Drosophila melanogaster: one gene and its partners. The gene in region 1 interacts genetically with each later gene. Each region holds a gene or a part of one and is shown on either strand. Other genes may lie near its edges.

Region 1 (8,734 bases):
TGAAGATGAAGATCTCCGGCGTTATTTATATATTTACCAAGAAACTGGAAAAAATTTCCATAATCACAATTCAAGGCATACTTTCAGGCCGTTCTTAGTTTTAAAACCAACATAGAGTTTGACCTATGCAAATGTCGCAAAAACGAGGCTCATTTAAAATAACACGCCTACCCATAGATACAAATCAAACTCTTTTCCAGGCCCTTGAACTTTGACTCGAATGTGTACAAAACAACAAGAGTTTTATACTCGAAATCTGCATAAATAAAGGTGCTTCATGTGATGCTGGAGGCATGTGTGTGAGTCAAGGCGAGTTAAGAAAAAATTGATTAGAAATTCTAATTTGGCAAAGACATTCTCCAATCGTCGCCAGGGTGTCTAAGCCTGGCCAACAAAATGGACGGGGCACACACAATGTTGGATAATCATCGCAGCACGCGTACTAGGTTCTACACTCATAAAAATATGGTTTATTTAAAGAATCGTTTTTTAGGGATGCAAAAATTTGTGCTTTTGTTTTATGATATTTCTAATCTGTTCTCTGATTAGACAGTTGGCACAAAAAGAGGTAGTATATCTTCACTCAATCGACAGATATTAATCACGTTTAATGGTTTGCAGATCTGCATAATTTTTCTTTGCGTGTGGATGGAGCGCGTGGCCATGCCGTTGTCATAAATAATAGGATCCAATGGGATCCGGTTTGATTACCTAACCCAAGAGCTTCGCGCAGAAATAGAAGTCCAAAAACCCCCAAAACCCAAAACCTGAACCCGAATTTCACCGGCAAAGAACAGACACAGACTTTTTTGGTTTTATTAAATATACAAAATTAAAGTTTTATTGAATTTTTCTTGTTTTGCGAAACGATTTACGGCTGCATTTCATTAATAAGCTCTATCACACTAGCTCTCATACACGCTCAGCTAGAAAAACATTAACACATACTCAGTCACACAAACATGGCCACATTCACGCACTTAGGGTCCTAGCTACTTTTTGGATTTGAATCATCATCCGCCTGCCCGGCATATAAACATTATACAAGTTATTCTCCGCAGACTACAGACTACTGATAGTTGGTAATGGTAAAGGTAAAGGTAAGAGTTACGAACTAAGCCCCGCTCTAAAAAACATAATTGCTAACTGAAATCCCAACGACACCATTTTCGGCATCGCCGATCATTCCAGCTTCATGGGCTTCACGCTGTTGTTGTTCAGATCGATGTACGCCTTTCCGACCTGGCCATTCTGGAGCAGATGCTTACCGGCGTTCATGGTCTGCGGCATGCAACCCATACCGCCGGCGGCACGCAGAGCGGATTGAGCCAAACTACTGCCGGTGGTGCGACTGCCTCCATCCACGGACTTGGCCTTCTTGTAGGTCTTGCGATAGAAATTGCCGAACAGGTAAAGGAAGATGACCGTGTTGCCCACGAAGAAGAAGGTCAGTGTCTTGGGCATGTTGCAGCCCTTGGCGCCCACGGTCAGCATGTAGCCCAGGATGAGGACGAACTGGATCAGCTGGATGCTGGTCATGTACTTCTTCCACCACAGGTACTTCTGGTACTGGGGTCCCATTGCGGCCACCATGTAGTAGAAGTACATGATAATGTGCACGCCCGAGTTGAGAATGCCAATGATCACGCCCTGCTCGCCGGGAGCGTACTTCAGGTAGCCCCAGGAGAAGAGCACCGTGATGGTGTGATGGTACACGTGTAGGAAGGACACCTGGTTGTCCTTCTTGCGCAGCACAAAGAACGTCGTGTCCAGCAGATCGATGATCTTCGAGAAAAAGTAGAACCAGGCACCGGAATAGAGGGTCAGATTCTGCTCCCTGGTGCGGTTAATCTCGCACTTCTTCGAGAAGATCGACGCCATCACATTGCTCTCTTGGATGGACTGCAAAAAAAAAAAAAAGAAAAGGGGAAATTAATCCTCATATATTTTATTATTTTTAATTTGCTGCTTAAAAACGCTATTTTATTTAAATTTCTTATTCAAGTGCAGTTAATTTGTTCATTCATTAAAGCGCGACATCGATTTGCAATTGAATTGTATAATAGTATGTGAAATAAAAATTCACAAATAGAGTCTTCAAATAAACGAATTCTCTGCACAATTGGTTTAAATTGGTTTAGCTTAATATATTTAATGACAATATAACGTAGGTCGCAACTTTGTATGTTCGACAAGCACTTGACGCTGCTTTTCTTATTAAAAATGAATAATACATAAATCGAGATCGCGAAACAAGCTGAATAATTATGACGCTCCGTTTTATGGACTCACCGTGCGGCACATCCAAATGGAGTACAAGACCTGAAAGGCATTATAGAACACCATGATGCGCTTGAGGTCCATGGGCTTGCGATTCTTCATGTACTCGGGTCCGATTTTCAGAACAAACGCCAGATAGACGAGAACCACGGCCACCACGGGCATAGGTGAGCTCATTAGGAACCAGCTGTCCACCGTCTCATCTAAATGGTATTCGAATCATTAGTTTCATTTGATATATATGCATACCTATTTCGATTCAACTTACCCACTCCTTTTGAGAGGCCGGAGATTCGCTCCTCGACAATCTTTATGTAGTTCGTCATATTGGCTTTCTGTTTCTGTTTTCGTTACTGTTACTGTTTCTGCAACTGGCAATTGTCAATTGGCAACTGAAAGAAAGAGGCTTACGAGCTTTAGAAATTTTCGCCCAAAAATCGAGAATTCAGAGCCCGACGTCCGTACGCCGCGTTGCCGAAATATTGAATGAAAATAGGTATTCTAAATCGCGATCGCTTGGAGAGGCTCAGCACGTTTGTTTCTGCTCGGCTCGCCGAGGATCGTGATTTGCATTGGAATTTGTGCCGAGGCACGCCAAAGATTTATTAATGAAAGGCGCGAAGAAATCGCTTATTAAGTTATCCCCAATCGAATGATGAATGACGACAGCAAAGATAAGGGTGGTGCAGCTCAACGATATAACTAGACATATGTGAATCTCTCGATTCAATAGAATCGAACGAGAATGTCTTAAAGATCTAAGATTCTTGGCCGAAGCCAAGACCGCAAGTCAGTGACAGTAGAAACCTGAAAAAAATCCGGACTCAAGGCTTCATTTGAATTTCTCGCCTTGGCACTAAAGTTAATACTATCTTTGGCATTCATCTTGGCATCTCCCTGAACATCTGCGATTGTCTTTTTCAGCTTTACTGTTCAGATAAAATCGGCACGGCACTCGGAGTTTATGTTCTAGCCACTGGGGCTCGTGTTCTTGCCTCACATTGTTATTTAAATTGCACACGGAAAAAGAGTTTGATTGAAAATGACCCATCGAATATATTCAATTACACGGCAGCCAGAACTCGTTTCTTATGTAACATTTCGAGGTGTTCTCCTCATTAACCACTGACCTAGCCAACTCCAACCGGAACTCGTTCGGGCGAAGATTCTCGAATTTATATATATATATATATATGTGTGGTAAAATGTATATAGATTGGTTTGTATAATTAGCTGGTATGCTAGAAGATGTCCAGTTGGGAATGTCACAAATCGGAACGGTATAAAACTAGTTGTCAAACTTGATCGAATTTATGTGCTTGTACTTTGAATTTTAAAGGCACGGCCTGCTCTATAATGATTCTGGGATGACTGGAGTTTTGTTCCCTTCTGATTGCAGTAGCACTCTTCATGGATGATCACATGGCGTGTAATTTGATTTGGAGAGTCTGGCCTGGCCTGGCCGAAGAACAGAGCAAACACCTGCCACAGTCGCTAATTGGACACACTCGGCGTATGATTGATATGTTTTGACTACCGCCGATCGACAGCGACTGAGACTAGGTCTCTGTCAGGGTTAAGCCGTTCGCAATTGACTTCGCCTTCCCTTAGCCATATAGCCATATAGACATATAGCCATATAGCCATATAGCTATATAGATATAGGTATTGCCATTCCCAGACCCATTCGTATGCAAGACACTTGGCAATCATATAGACTGACACTGGAGACAGGAAAAGTGAGCTGGCTGCCGCATCAACTACATCATCATCATCATCATCATGATCATGATCGCAGTCGACCAAAAATGTGACGCCAATTGAAAGTCAGGCGAGTGTTCCGCTGGCTGCCTTCGCAGCTGCTGACGTTGATCCCCCTTCTGGCTACGCCCCTTTTGGATGGCAGCTTCCCTTTTTTGGGTAACCCCAGCACCTTCTGGTGCCACACTTTCGGTTAACCAAAGGCCACATCTATAGCCATTACTTCAGTATCCCATACGACGGCAGTGGAGCACAGATTCTGTGAGCTGAGCAGGTCTTCCGCCTTAAATAAATTAAAAATAAACGCAGAAGCAGCCAGCAACCACATTCTGCCGCGCACGCATTAAAATTATGTGTATTGTATGCATAATTGATTTTCGCTTTTGCAAATTTTTGTACCCTTTAAGAGGTGCTGCCTTGTCAGCAGTATCAGAACACTCGATATTTGGATACTTGGCACTCGGAACTGTGGACTGAGAACTGGGAATTGGGTTTACCCAGCACTCGAACACGGCTTTGCCATAATTTCAAATGTTGTGACTAATGCGAATAGTATCTAAATATCCATACGTCTGTTACGGTGCGGAAAAGCACCGAATAAAGCGTTAATTTTTACGAACTTGCCTCTAAAAATAAAAGGTTCGGATAAAAACAACTTAATTCGCCACTAATTCGAAATCTAATGAAGGCCGATGGGGCATTAGTCTTTCATCTGCGCATATGTCTATATGTAAATGTATCTGTATCTGCTGCTGCGATTTAAACGTTGTTAATGTGCCACCAGTTTAAATCAGCAAGTTTTGCATGTTTCTTTTTTTTTGCAACTTTGCGCCTAGAAGCTCAGGTATTTCGTGTGTTATGTCGCCACGTGTGTACACCAGAAAAAAAAAATATGATTTGTGTTTGGAAAATCCCAAGTACATGCAATTTATGATAGTAAACTAGTCTTGGTTTAAATATTTTTTTATTATTTTCCTTTCTGTTGCAGAACTCCTCAAAATGATATAGCTACATATATGCTGTGTAAATTGCAGTCCAATGGGGCGGATGTTTTTCTATAGATTACAGACAGCACGATTTTCACACGCACTTGAGTGTTCGCCGAATGACAACAATTAGCCATGTGAAATTCCCGAATACATTAGCCCATTGAAGTTTGGAAATGTGGTAGGTGTTGCGATGCAATCGAATGGATCCATAGAATCATGAGTACTGAGTAGATCGGGTAGGGTATGTAAACGGGTCGAGCACCCTGAAAATTGTTTAATTTTTTTTTCCACATTGTTATTTTCCCGACGTGGCTCCAGAGTGCAACAGGTTAATCATTTAGTTTTGCCTGTGTCAAGTGCACATGTTTTATGGTTTCATGCTTGCTTAGCGCTGTAAATTAATTTTTTTTTTTTTGCCAGCCGAGGCATTTACAGAGGAGGCACAAAAACGCGTCGAGTCAGCCAGCAGTTGGCAAACCGCAGAAACGCCACATAGATACATCCATAACTATAACCCACACGGTAAGAAAATGTTTTAAAATGCGATTAAAACTAAGCTTAGCAAATTCCCTAGCTAATTGCTTTTTGAGACATATATGAAAGTATATATAAATAGTTCAAAAAATCTGTTTGGCTATCAACAAAACTGTTTAGTTCAATTTTCGTTAAAATAAAATATATTAATATTATTTAGGAAACGCGAAAGATGACTTAAAAACCTTTTTCCCCTGTGCGTCTTAAGCCAGAGTTTGTTGCTGGTGACTTTTTGGGCCGACTGACAACCTTTAATTACTCTGTAAATATTTGCGGCGTTAATTGGATTTTTTTCCTGGCCCAAACGAAACCCTCTGCGTCTGTCTGTGTTGTTGTCGTTAGAAACTGTAACGGATATGGGCCGTGGTCTCTTCGTGGGAACAGCGACTTCTAATCTGTTTGCCTAACCATGAAATGTGGTCATCTTCGTGAGGGGGAGTGTTCAGTTTGGCCATAGTGTCAGGCGGCCATTTGCTTGGTGCTATTGAAGGCCATTTGGCTAGTGCAGCTGCAAATTGAATCGCAATCGATTACAAGTTCAAATCGTTTAGATTTGGCCGCCTCAATGCTGCAGCCAGAGTCTTGGCCTTGGCTGACTGGCAAAATTGCAGCTCCTCAAGCGAGTTTTCAGCATTTAATCTATGTACGATGCATTGGGTTAAGGTCGACGAGAAATATCAGACGGACCAATGGCGGTGGTGGCAGCAAAGTTAGCCAGGCTTAGACCAGCCACTGCCAATCGAGCTCTCAGTTTTTTTTTTGTTTTTTTTTTTTTTTTGCCCAAGAACTGCTCTCCAATTTATGCAACACTTTCATCACGCCTTTAGGTTGCCCCAAAAAATGAATTCATATCACTTCCGTACCTGTTGGTTTTTCGGCTGACTCGATTCCCTGCTTGGAACTTGGCTAACACACACACGCACTGGCGCGCACACACACACAATCGCACTACGACCGTAGCCTGAAGATTCAGTTACAGTTTACGGACTCGAAACTCGAATTCGGATTCGGACTCGGACTCGGACTCGACTGCGGCAAACGCCAAGAAGACACTAATATGGAGTTCTACCCGCTCGGCTGTATAAATAAACAAAATGAACGCGCTTCGCAGGCCGGCCAACATTTGACGCCGCCGTCGCTGGCGACGCTGGCAGCGCAGTCGCGGCACGGCCCGCACGGCGTATACTTAACCTTTTTTTTTAGTTGATTTTTGCGTCACTCGGCCGGGTTCGATACGATGCAAGTCGAAGTTGCGTTAATGGCCAATTTAAGTTGCGCGGCGGTTTCTTTTTTTTTTTTTTTATTTTATTTTTGCTTTAGAAACATTTAGTTTTGGTTTTATCTTTACTGATTTTTTGGTGCTTTCTGGTGCTAAGGTCAAGTTTGAAGCCATTAAAATGAATGTCTGTGGCGAGAAAAGAAAGCAAAACTGCTAACAGCAGCAGATAAGCCATGCTTTTTCTTGGTTTATTTTGAACAAGTTTATTAACCCTTTCCCGGTTGGCCAAAAAAACATGCAGATCCTATCGCAAAAAGAGCGGCAAAAAGAAAACGAAAGCAAAGAGGGAAGCGAAAAAGTACACAGTAAAAACGAAATATACTTCAATATTAGTATACATGTATACATATACATATATATATTATGGTATATGTTTAGAATTTAACGAACATACATAGAACATACTATGAGAGACTCTAGTTCATCATCATAAATTGTTAACAATTTTATGAAAATCTGTTTGTATGCCACTGAAAGTGTTTGGAATGAATTTCTAAAAAAATATATACATGCACTTTATATTTATATATAATGTGTCGCGATTTTTAGACCGCACGATGGAGTTTATATTTTTATTATGTGCTTTGACCTTTCAGTGATAACTCAGGTTAATTGGATTTTGCGTCATCCTCGCCACTTTCGTTTGATACTGTGTTATTTCTAAAAAACATCTCTATAAAGAAATGCTTAAAAAATTAACTACATTTTTGTAATAAAAATAGTTCCATTAGACCCTTTAAAATTAACAAAATAGATATGGATAATATTTTATATATGTAAGTTCCTGACACCACTTTTCTTTCTGTGTGCCCATTTAAAAAAACATTTTTCTAAAAACATCTCTATAAAGAAATGCTTAAAAAATTATCTACATTTTTATAATAAAAATAGTTCCATTAGACCCTTTAAAAATAACCAAAATAATAACATTTTATATATAAGTTCCTGACACCACTTTTCTTTCTGTGTGCCAATTTCCAGCTACAAAATTGGCTTTAAATAAACCGCTAGACAATTGATTTATTATCGCCGTCACGTCATTGAGACGAACTCAATTGGCAGCATAGTTATAAGTGCTTATATATATATATATATATGTGCCAATGTGGGGGATGACACGCCCCAACTCCATAACCTGGCACTTAATTTAACTACGCAAATAGGGTTTACGGGCGCAGTTAACACATTTCCAGATCGATGGGAAGCGATTGTCCGTCCAATGAATGGGTCAATTTCACGCACTTACTCTCACCAGTCTCCCAGATTCCCAGGTGATTTGTGTGACCCATGGTGATCCATGTACTCCACCCACGTGCTAAGTGCCCGGTCAAATATGCAAATGTTTGCCGAGTTGGATGCACTGCAGCTGTGTTGGTCGCCACCCTTCCGGGTCTTTGGCATTTCCATTTCCATTTGAAGCACATTGGCCGTTTAGCATTTTTTGTCGCGCGCTCGTCATTCAAACAGAAACAGCTCGCATTATCGGCGCTTCTCTTTTGTGATTATGACCCTGAACTTCAGCGCTACTAAATGTATTAATTCAGTCGATTAATACCGCTAGTCGGGGTCTGTGCGAAATCTGCTCCTTGGCCGAGTTTCTAACGTAGCTGGTCAGAACGCCGAGAGCTGATGGATGATATTGGCCTGGATTGGTCAATAGGGTATATCATCTTGATGGGCTGCCCCTGAGCAAAGCAAGTTCTATAGTCTTATGTTTGAAATTGAATTTGTTTAACAAAGATGAATGACTCTTGACTAAACATATTGGCCTTTATGTGCAATAAATATTCTAAGGGCGCTATTAAAACGTAGTTAAATTGCGCTATTAAGAGCTTGCCAAACAAGTGAATCTTTATTGGGCCTGCAAGGCTGGTGATATTTCCTCACTAGC
Region 2 (4,647 bases), on another chromosome or scaffold:
ACTGCGAGTACGCCACGAGAGCCAATGATTTGGGTGAACTGTTTTCCCTCGAGCACCTACGAATCGAGCATATCGAACAGCTTTTCAATGAACGCAACCAGAGCTCCGGCGAGTTTATTGTGGAGTTCAGTGATCCTGCCAGTTGCAAACTGGCCATCAGGGAGTTCCACAATAGACGCTTTCGAGGAAGGGGACTGCGAGTGGTGGCCATCACGCCCCAGGAAATCGCTGATAGGATGAAAAAGCCCTTCATGGATTATCTGCCGGGTGGAAATGGTCCCAGGAAAGCGGAAACTAACAATGCGAATGACGGTGCAGGTGGAAATAAAGCCAGTGCGCAGCCGTCTCGTCGTCGAGGACCCAGCCGCTTTGATAAGCCGCAGGAACAGCCATCGCAACAGCAGGATCGACCGCTATCCCTGGAAAGGGAGGACAACAGCAGCACTAGCTCGAACGCACCCGTTAAACAGCACTTCAATCCCTTCGCTCGACCAGATCCTCCTCTGAGCAGCAGCTCCCTCTCGCCCAGCAATCAGGGTCAAGTCAAGCCAACCTCTCCGGTGCCCGTTCCCACATCCATAATCCCGGACAAGTTCAATCGGCCGGGATGCGTAGTGGCTATGCGCAATGTCCCTTTCAAGGCGGAGCTAAAGGACATCATGCGCTTCTTTAGCGACTACAAGCTTAGCCCGGATGACATTATAAGGCGTTTCAATGATGAAGGCAAACCCACCGGCGACACTCGCGTCGCTTTCGAGTCCCCTTCGGAGGCAAGGTCTGCCTTCGAATCGCGCCGCAAGAAGCAGATATTTAACCGCACTGTCTACCTGGATATCATCTAGGCAATGAGCTTAGAGCCCAAATAATTGTATAATGTAAATAGATAATGTTAAGCCAGACACCAAAAATATTATATATATAAGCAGCATGTACATAAACTTGTTTAAATAAATCGAATAAACCGTGTAAGAAATGCGTTTAAGCATACAAAACCCAGCGAGCGACTGGGAAACTATCATTAACATCAACGATGAAGTATCATTATATTTTGTTTCTGTGCATCCTTTCTTTAGTCTTTTTAAGACTTCACGTAATTTAAGTTGAAGATTTATACCATTTTTTTGACATTACAAATTGTGAATAAATAAATAAAACTTGTTTCATTTATATGAATAAAATATATTACATAGACACAAAAATACTTCCTATAACATGAATATAAAAAGTCTTAATCCAATCTTAGGCATAGTTTTGCAGTAATATCACTTGGGACTTTTTCAGCGACTCCCGGCACAAGGGGCACTCATCCCGCTCCTCCAGCCACTCGAGCAGGCAGCTCCAGCAAAAGATGTGGCCGCATGGAGTCAAACTGCTGTCAGAACGTGGCTCCAGGCAAAGGATGCACTGTGGGGTGTTTGGATCTACGTCCTTTGTACTCGAAGATCTTTGCAGGAAATTCTTTCCAGCCTGCTTTATTGATTCTAGCTGCTGGCGCTTGTGCTCTCTCCAGGCATCCCATCCACTAATGGCCAAGGAAACGCTGACCTGCAGGAAAGTGATTACGCCCAGTATCTTGTAGCCGTACAGCGAGAATTCCGGCTGCAGCCAGTGACGGATTAGTACGTAGTTGATGCCCGTGGTGCGCTTGGACAGCTGGTACTTGCTGGCGTCCAAGTAGAATAGAGACTTGTGCAGGGCCTTTACGTAGCTGGGAGATTGCCTGAGCCTCTGAATAATCTTCTTTAGCTGCGGCTTGATCTCGGTTCGAATCTCGTCATTGTTGGCCACGTAGGTGTCAAGTTTTTGCATCAATCGTTGGAACAGGGAGTCGCCACCAAACTCCAGGACAATGGCAATCAGTTGTAACTAAAAGATGCGCGACGTTTACAAATGTTTTCTTTTCGAGTATTCTTTACTTACCAATCTGCTGGGAATCTGCTTATAGTTCCCGTCCACCTGTATTATCCCCGTGTACTCTTCGCCGAGGGTCTGAAGGTTATTGGCCGAGGCGAATCCGTGGTAACTGAGCTCCGCCAGAAGTCGGCACATCTGGTTGTACTTTATCCAGTTCCGTGGACCGGTGAGGCGCAAGACATCGGACAAGTCTTCGGCCAGCTCGTTGGTGTACCGTGCATCCTTCTGCACGGATCTCACGATCTCCGGCTGCCGGGCGCGGGCGTTCCGAAAGTCCATGTCGTTGGGGGTTACTGCAATGTTGATTCTAACATATCTTATTCAAAGGCCGATCAAAGTGCGGCTCAGATAACAAAATCAGCTGTTATACTTTTGCCTAATTGAGATGACACTTTCTAGGAACATCGGTAACGCAACTTGCAACAGCACATTTTACACAACACAGCTCCGCTCACTTCAAACGTATTATACGAAGTATTAAATTAAAAAAAGTATTTCCTTTAATATTATTTAAATATCCAATGTGACATTATAATTATATATAATTACCTTGTGCGATAGTTTTCTCTGACGAATCACGACCATACCAAAGCACACCATCAGCTCTCTGCGAGGCACTTTCCAGCACTTACAGTCAGCCATTTTCTATCGGGCATCACGGATGCTTTTTTTCCCTGACCAAAGGATATTTGGTTTTTCCATCAAAATTTGTTGATTTCGAGACGTCAAATCGAAACCCCGCGATAGCAGAGACCGTGTGTCGGCAGTGTGTGTGCAATTGGCAAGTGGTAATTGTCGGAAAGATTCGGTTTTGGACCCGCAAAGAGCAGCTAGCGCAGACGTCACACCTTTTTAGGCACCAATACGATTACAGCTACTAATACTACGACCCACAGACTAATAGAACAACAAAACAAGTGCTAGAAAAAGAGAAGAAGAATCGAGCCGCAAGTCCAAGTACTTAAAAAAGTACTTTCGCCTCGAATTTAACTGCACTTACTCGCAAAAGCCGCATTTGATTTTTTGGAAATATTACGCAAGTACTATTTCTAGTCGTACCCGTTGGATAATCATGGCTCAGTAAACATGAATCCGCAACGAGAATACTTTGCTCAGCGCACTCCGTGTGGAGACCTAGGCAAGACGCAATTAGCCGCCCACTGGCAGCTGTCCAGCACCCATACTATTACTATTCCCCAAGACAAGTGCACCTCCAGTATCCACAACGATGGACAGCAACAACAGCAGCAACAGCAAGAAGCAGCCTCAATCCTCTCATCATGGCAAGTCCTCGTCTGCTGAATCGCAAAGGAAGTCCAGTGGTGGGTGCTCCATTCTCCTGATATTTTTATATCCCGAAAAGGTTTTAATATTGGTGCAACCTTCTCCTCCGCAGAGTTACATACCAACAGCAACAAGCAGCGACACAGCCGTCGAAGGAATCAGGTTCCCACACCGCGCAACGATCAGCAACAACAGCCACAGCAGCCAGCAAAGCTACGTCCCAATGTGGACAAGCGTCCGAAGGCTCGCGGGTTTGGAGGCGGTTACGATTTCCCTTCACCCCGTGGCCAGGACGGGGCTTCAGGCAGCTCCCGACTAGCCTACTCCGCCACCGGCTACTCACGTAGCGGTGACTTTGACCATGAACTGAACTCTGTGTATACACAGGGCAGCAAGAAGCAGAATCTGAACCATCTGCTTAACTTCCACTGCGTGCCCAGGGAACTGGAGCGAGGACATCACCATCAGGCCCAACAGCACCACGGCCTGAGTGGCCGAAAGCAGCGCTACAACAAGGAGCAGTTCCTGCAGGCCAACTTTCAGTTCGTCATTAGATCGGGTGCAAAGGCTCAGGTTAATGGCTCGCCGGATGCACTCATCGATTGGAGCTACATCGAGCAGATCAACATACAGACCACTGAGGAGTTGCAGTGCCCCATCTGCCTGTACCCGCCTGTGGCTGCCAAGCTCACCAGATGCGGACACGCCTACTGTTGGCCCTGCTTGCTGCACTACCTCTCGCTGAGCGACAAGACCTGGCGCAAGTGTCCTATCTGCTATGACGCCATCCACGCGGGAGATCTGAAGAGCTGCACCATCGAACAGCTGAGGGATTTGCAAGTGGGCGAGAAGATTACCTTCCAGTTGATGCGGCGTCGCAAGGGCTCCATGTACATTGAAAATCATGTTGCAGGATTGGGCGAAACAATTGAACGTTTCCCCTTTGTGTCCGCTGGTGAAGAGGCTAAACGCTACTCAAAGTTTCTAATAGCCAAGCGGATGGATGTGGCCGCCATCATCGAGAGGGAGCGTAACGAACTGCTAGCCGAATCGGATGTCTCCTGTCCCGAGGATGTGTTCATCCAGCAAGCGCTGGTGATGCTTCAGGAGCGTGTTGAGAAGTTGGGTGTCGAGAAACCTGATCCGAAAGAGGATGAAGAGGAGACAGCACCTGTACTTTGCCTAGAAACCGAGACCAAGATTGATATTGAGAAGTCAGACGATGCCTCCATCTCGTCGGGAGAAGCATCCAGCAGCCTTAGCTACTCGAGCAACCATAATAAATACTATTATTTCTACCAGTCAAACGACGGACAGAATATTTACTTGCATCCCTTGAACGTGAAGATGCTTCAGGCTTGCTACGGCACCTTGGACTTGGGTCCGCTACTCATCGAAGCCCAAATCGTGCAGATGGAACAGCACTCTATGGATGAGGAGCATCGACGC
Region 3 (4,070 bases), on another chromosome or scaffold:
CCGAGTACAGCACCTGGACTCCCTTGATGATGCCCACCTGCGACTGGATGATGGCGATAGCCTGCGAGAAGTGCATGCCCAGCACAAATTCCCAGGCATCGCAGCCCAGGGAAATCTCCGGCACGATCTCCAGATCTAGCATTTTCACCTGGGGGTTTTTAAGGGATCTTGGTTTGTTATTGTTGTTGCTGCGAGTCGTCAACTTACTGACCTTGATATGTGAAATCAGTTCGCGTTGCGAATATATTTAAACAATTATATATATACGCAATTGATGGCCAAGTGTATTTGTTATTATTTCAGCACTTTCTGTTTTCAATTGTTTGCTCTCGTTTTCTTATTTTCGCTGGTTATGCCTTTATTTATTTTTATGCAATTACGCAACTCCAAAAAAATTGTTTAATTCGTGGGTTTCCAACTACTTGTCGTGTTCTTGGTGAAGCGATTAATTGTATTGTTTTCTTCAAAAAAATTCGGACAAAGACGAAATGCGCAGCAGAAAAATGAGATAATAACAAAGTAATGGCGTTGCCACATCGCCGCAGGCAGCTGATTCGCGAAATTGCAAAACAAATTGGGTGTGGCTTTGCCACCCAAAAAATATGAATATTAATCATGTTCTTAGTCTATCTATCTAATCTAGTGGCTTAAATACGGTTAGAGCTACTTAACAGTTGAGTTCATATAATTGCTTAATTTATTTGCCACATTTGGCAACGCTGGTTGAGAATGCAACAGCTGTTCCCATATTTTCGCGCGCTTTTTATTTACCAAAGATAGGGATTTAGAACTTACTTTTTGATCTTAACTGTTGTTCTTGGAAAATCAGCAGTTAACTTTGGATCCGCAAGGCTTTATACTTCGCCCTAAACAGTTTTTGCTTTTTATTTTCGTTTAATTATACACTTTTTATGTAGTTTATATCGCACGACTCCTGGCACTGGGCAAGTAAATAATAGCTGTTTTTGTACGACTACCAACACTACTCTGCTTGCTAACACTAAAAGTACACACATTTGGCGGAATATGAAAATGATTTGTTTATTACTTACAGCCCACTTTTCGCTTAAAACTAATAAAAGACATATAAAACCATCACATGCACTATATTCCTATTTATCAGACACTTTGGATTCCCGACTCAGGACACGCAGAACCGCAGTTGGGGCAGCAGAAACTGGCATCCGTTAAAACATTTGCATTAAGGCAGTAATAGCAATAAATATGACCACAGCCCATGTGGTGGGGCAATGTGGGTCGCTCTCCACAGAATGTGCAGGTGGTGCTTAGTGTCATCTGCGGCGCCAGGAAAGCCGGACCATCTCTATCCTCTAACCGTCGTCCGGAAAATGTCCATGATTTTAGCACTCTTTGTAGCTTACGGAAATTGATGATGGGCAACACCAGTCCGAGGATTTCCTATAATATACACTGTAATATATATGTATAATAAGCAAACTAACTAACACGCACCATAAATCCTCCCCACAGCAGCTCCCTCGTTAGGTACTTGTAGCCAATGTCTCTCCTTTGATTGTTCCGCAGACTAATGTAGTCCAATCCCAATAAGTAGTCCACCAAAGTGGGTTTTCGTCCTGTCTTCAGGAACCGAAAGTAATTGAGGATGTTCAGTATCAGGGCACTGTTCTCCACCCACATAATCGCCTCGCTAAACCATTCTACGCGCCTTGTTAAGCGTCGCTCCTCCCAGCTCTTCACGTAGCCCGGCAAGACGGTCAGGATGAAATGGAGCACCAGCCTGGAAACGGTCAGCTTTTCGGCATCGTAAGCCAGAACCAGTAGCTGTTGGCCAAAAGTGGAGCACCGCTTGCCGACGGAACCAAACCAAATTGCGGATTGAATGATCAAGTCGAGCTCCGGTTGGATTTTGATGAACAAAACGGGCTGTGAGAGATATACAGTATATATTGGCCAATTATGGTAGTGTTCATATACTCACTGAGATGGCTTGCAAGTTCTCCAGCAGATTATCGCGTATCAGGCGGGCAATGTCCTTGTTCAAATAGATGGCATCTATCTAAAAGGTAAACATGTATAATTTTAGTGGTTTTAATTCATGAATAGCTCACCATAATTAGCTCACCTGATTTACACGTGGTACATATTTGTTTTTCTCCATTATTTTGTTTATATTCTTGCCTTTGGTTAGCTGACCATTGATATATTTCTTATTTATATGTACTCTGCCCTTTCTTATCAATTAGAGATGGCAATTGTAAAGAAAGTTTACTAGTCATTATCGACATTTTTAAACAGTGCTGGTAAACTATATCGACAAACCCCGCCAAATTTAAACTAGCCATACTAGCAATGCGGTTTGATTTTTTATTTATTGCTAATTGAAATCAGCTTATATATCAATTACATCGACATTTCGAAGAAACTCCAAGTCTTTTAACCATTTAGGAAGCATTTTCCGTCAACATTTCAATTAAGGCTTATGCAATTTCAATGAAAACAAATACAAGAAACCACAATGAACTGAAGAACTCGTTTGGGATCCGGAAAATGTGTCTAACGATGTCTGGTAATTTGTGGAAATCTTGCCCATTGCCGTTTACGTCTGGAAACGCATAAACCAGTTGGTCAGCTGAGACATTTGGTCATTTGTTTGAGGAGTGCAAGTTCAATGATTGGCCCCGGCTGAAAAAATTATGGCCAGTGGTCGGGTGAGTTTTGATTTTATAAAAAGTACATAATTCACACTTTATTACACAATTTACAATTTCTTCGTTCGATCTCTGTTTTACGAGAAGACATAAGTATACATTACAGTTTACAGATTATAGATTATAGATTAAAGATTAAGGCAAACAGTCGAGTAGTGATCGGTAAATTCGTCTGAGCAGGTAGTGACTAAGGATCAGTTGAAAGCGGAAGATACACATAGAAGTTATTCGCTATCACAGAATAAAATACAATATACAAAATGTTAATGAAATGGCCATGGACAGGATGTGATCCTTGGCCTGGGTGTGTGCTGATGTCCTAATTACGAGATATGAAGCTGATTCCATGGTCGACCGATGTGGATATGCTTGTCCCTCCTCCTAGTCCTCATAATCCTCCTCCCACTTCCGGCTGATGAGCAATTTGGCTAACTCTAGTGCGCAGTGTGTACTAGCTTAGTAGTGGTGTTCGTGCAGCTCCTCATGATGATGCACTGGAGCGGTCTTGTGGACCACGGCGTTGAATCCATTGTGCTTGTCGGCGGTGTAGTCCACGGTGCGGATGGAACCATCGGGCTCCACCAGGGAGTACTGTCCCTTGACGGTGTCACCATCGCGGGTCTCGTGCTGCGACTTCACATCTCCGGTGTGGAAGTCATTCACGCCGTACTTGAAAGCATATTTGGGAGGAGCCTGTTAAGAAACAACATTTCATCATCATCATCTCTTTGATTATAGTTTATAGTGTAATTTTGAATTTCAGAAACAATACTCACATAGTAATCCACATGTTCATCATGTCCGTGAGACTCGTGGGTCTCGTAGTGGGGCTCAGCGTGTTCGAGGTGACCGTGCTCCTCGCCCAGTGAGATGCGTTCGATTTGATGGTGGCCATACTCATGGATGGGCTCCGGTTCGTGATGGGCCAGGTGCTCATATCCATGGCTCTCCTCGTAGTACTGGTGCTCCAACGGATAGGCGAGGCTCAGGCACAGAGCCGAGGCGAAGATCAGATACTGCAAGATCAGATAGGTGGGTGCATAATTAGCAACTAATTGTTTCCGTTGACGGAGTGTGTGTAGTTGCAAGTGCTGCAATTAGCGTTGGAGGACTTGCTGGCCACAGACAGTAGCTATCCATGTTATGGCTGCTTTGCAATTTCGGACTTTTTCCTCTTGCTGGTCTTAATGAATTCATAATCAAGTGTTTGCTGTGGTCGACTGACGCTTTTGTTTGGATATACTTTTAGTGGTTACTTTGTGGTTTACTGGCTGACTGCAAATTTGTTGGTTAACTAAGCGGGAGGTTTATTTAACTAAAGCAAAAGTGTGAGTTTTTTCCTAAATCCTAAAACGATTTACTTTAATAGGTGCTTTTGTT

What was found.
Region 2: of bond (region 1) and Pex10, changing one suppresses a phenotype caused by changing the other (phenotypic suppression), as found in Drosophila melanogaster (one study listed by BioGRID).
Region 3: of bond (region 1) and Pex2, changing one suppresses a phenotype caused by changing the other (phenotypic suppression), as found in Drosophila melanogaster (one study listed by BioGRID).

Annotation. Positions count from the first base shown.
Region 1 is NT_033777.3:22,548,572-22,557,305, reverse strand, and holds bond (james bond), read right to left. Parts: upstream 6,627-8,734; 5' UTR 6,428-6,626; intron 5,553-6,427; exon of another isoform or gene 5,451-5,552; intron 5,209-5,450; exon of another isoform or gene 5,030-5,208; intron 4,681-5,029; exon of another isoform or gene 4,619-4,680; intron 3,632-4,618; exon of another isoform or gene 3,411-3,631; intron 2,770-3,410; exon of another isoform or gene 2,673-2,769; 5' UTR 2,607-2,672; coding exon 2,549-2,606; intron 2,484-2,548; coding exon 2,293-2,483; intron 1,903-2,292; coding exon 1,183-1,902; 3' UTR 812-1,182; downstream 1-811.
Region 2 is NT_037436.4:1,556,378-1,561,024, reverse strand, and holds Pex10 (peroxin 10), read right to left. Parts: upstream 2,798-4,647; 5' UTR 2,464-2,797; intron 2,369-2,463; 5' UTR 2,194-2,368; coding exon 1,921-2,193; intron 1,867-1,920; coding exon 1,240-1,866; 3' UTR 1,162-1,239; downstream 1-1,161. Other genes in the region: CG7879 (uncharacterized protein), read left to right, coding at 1-842; CG12099 (uncharacterized protein), read left to right, coding at 3,143-3,236, 3,311-4,647.
Region 3 is NT_037436.4:8,337,225-8,341,294, reverse strand, and holds Pex2 (peroxin 2), read right to left. Parts: upstream 2,245-4,070; 5' UTR 2,141-2,244; coding exon 2,105-2,140; intron 2,039-2,104; coding exon 1,961-2,038; intron 1,906-1,960; coding exon 1,474-1,905; intron 1,420-1,473; coding exon 1,120-1,419; 3' UTR 1,019-1,119; downstream 1-1,018. Other genes in the region: CG7083 (uncharacterized protein), read right to left, coding at 1-142; Cpr66Cb (cuticular protein 66Cb), read right to left, coding at 3,147-3,383, 3,467-3,706.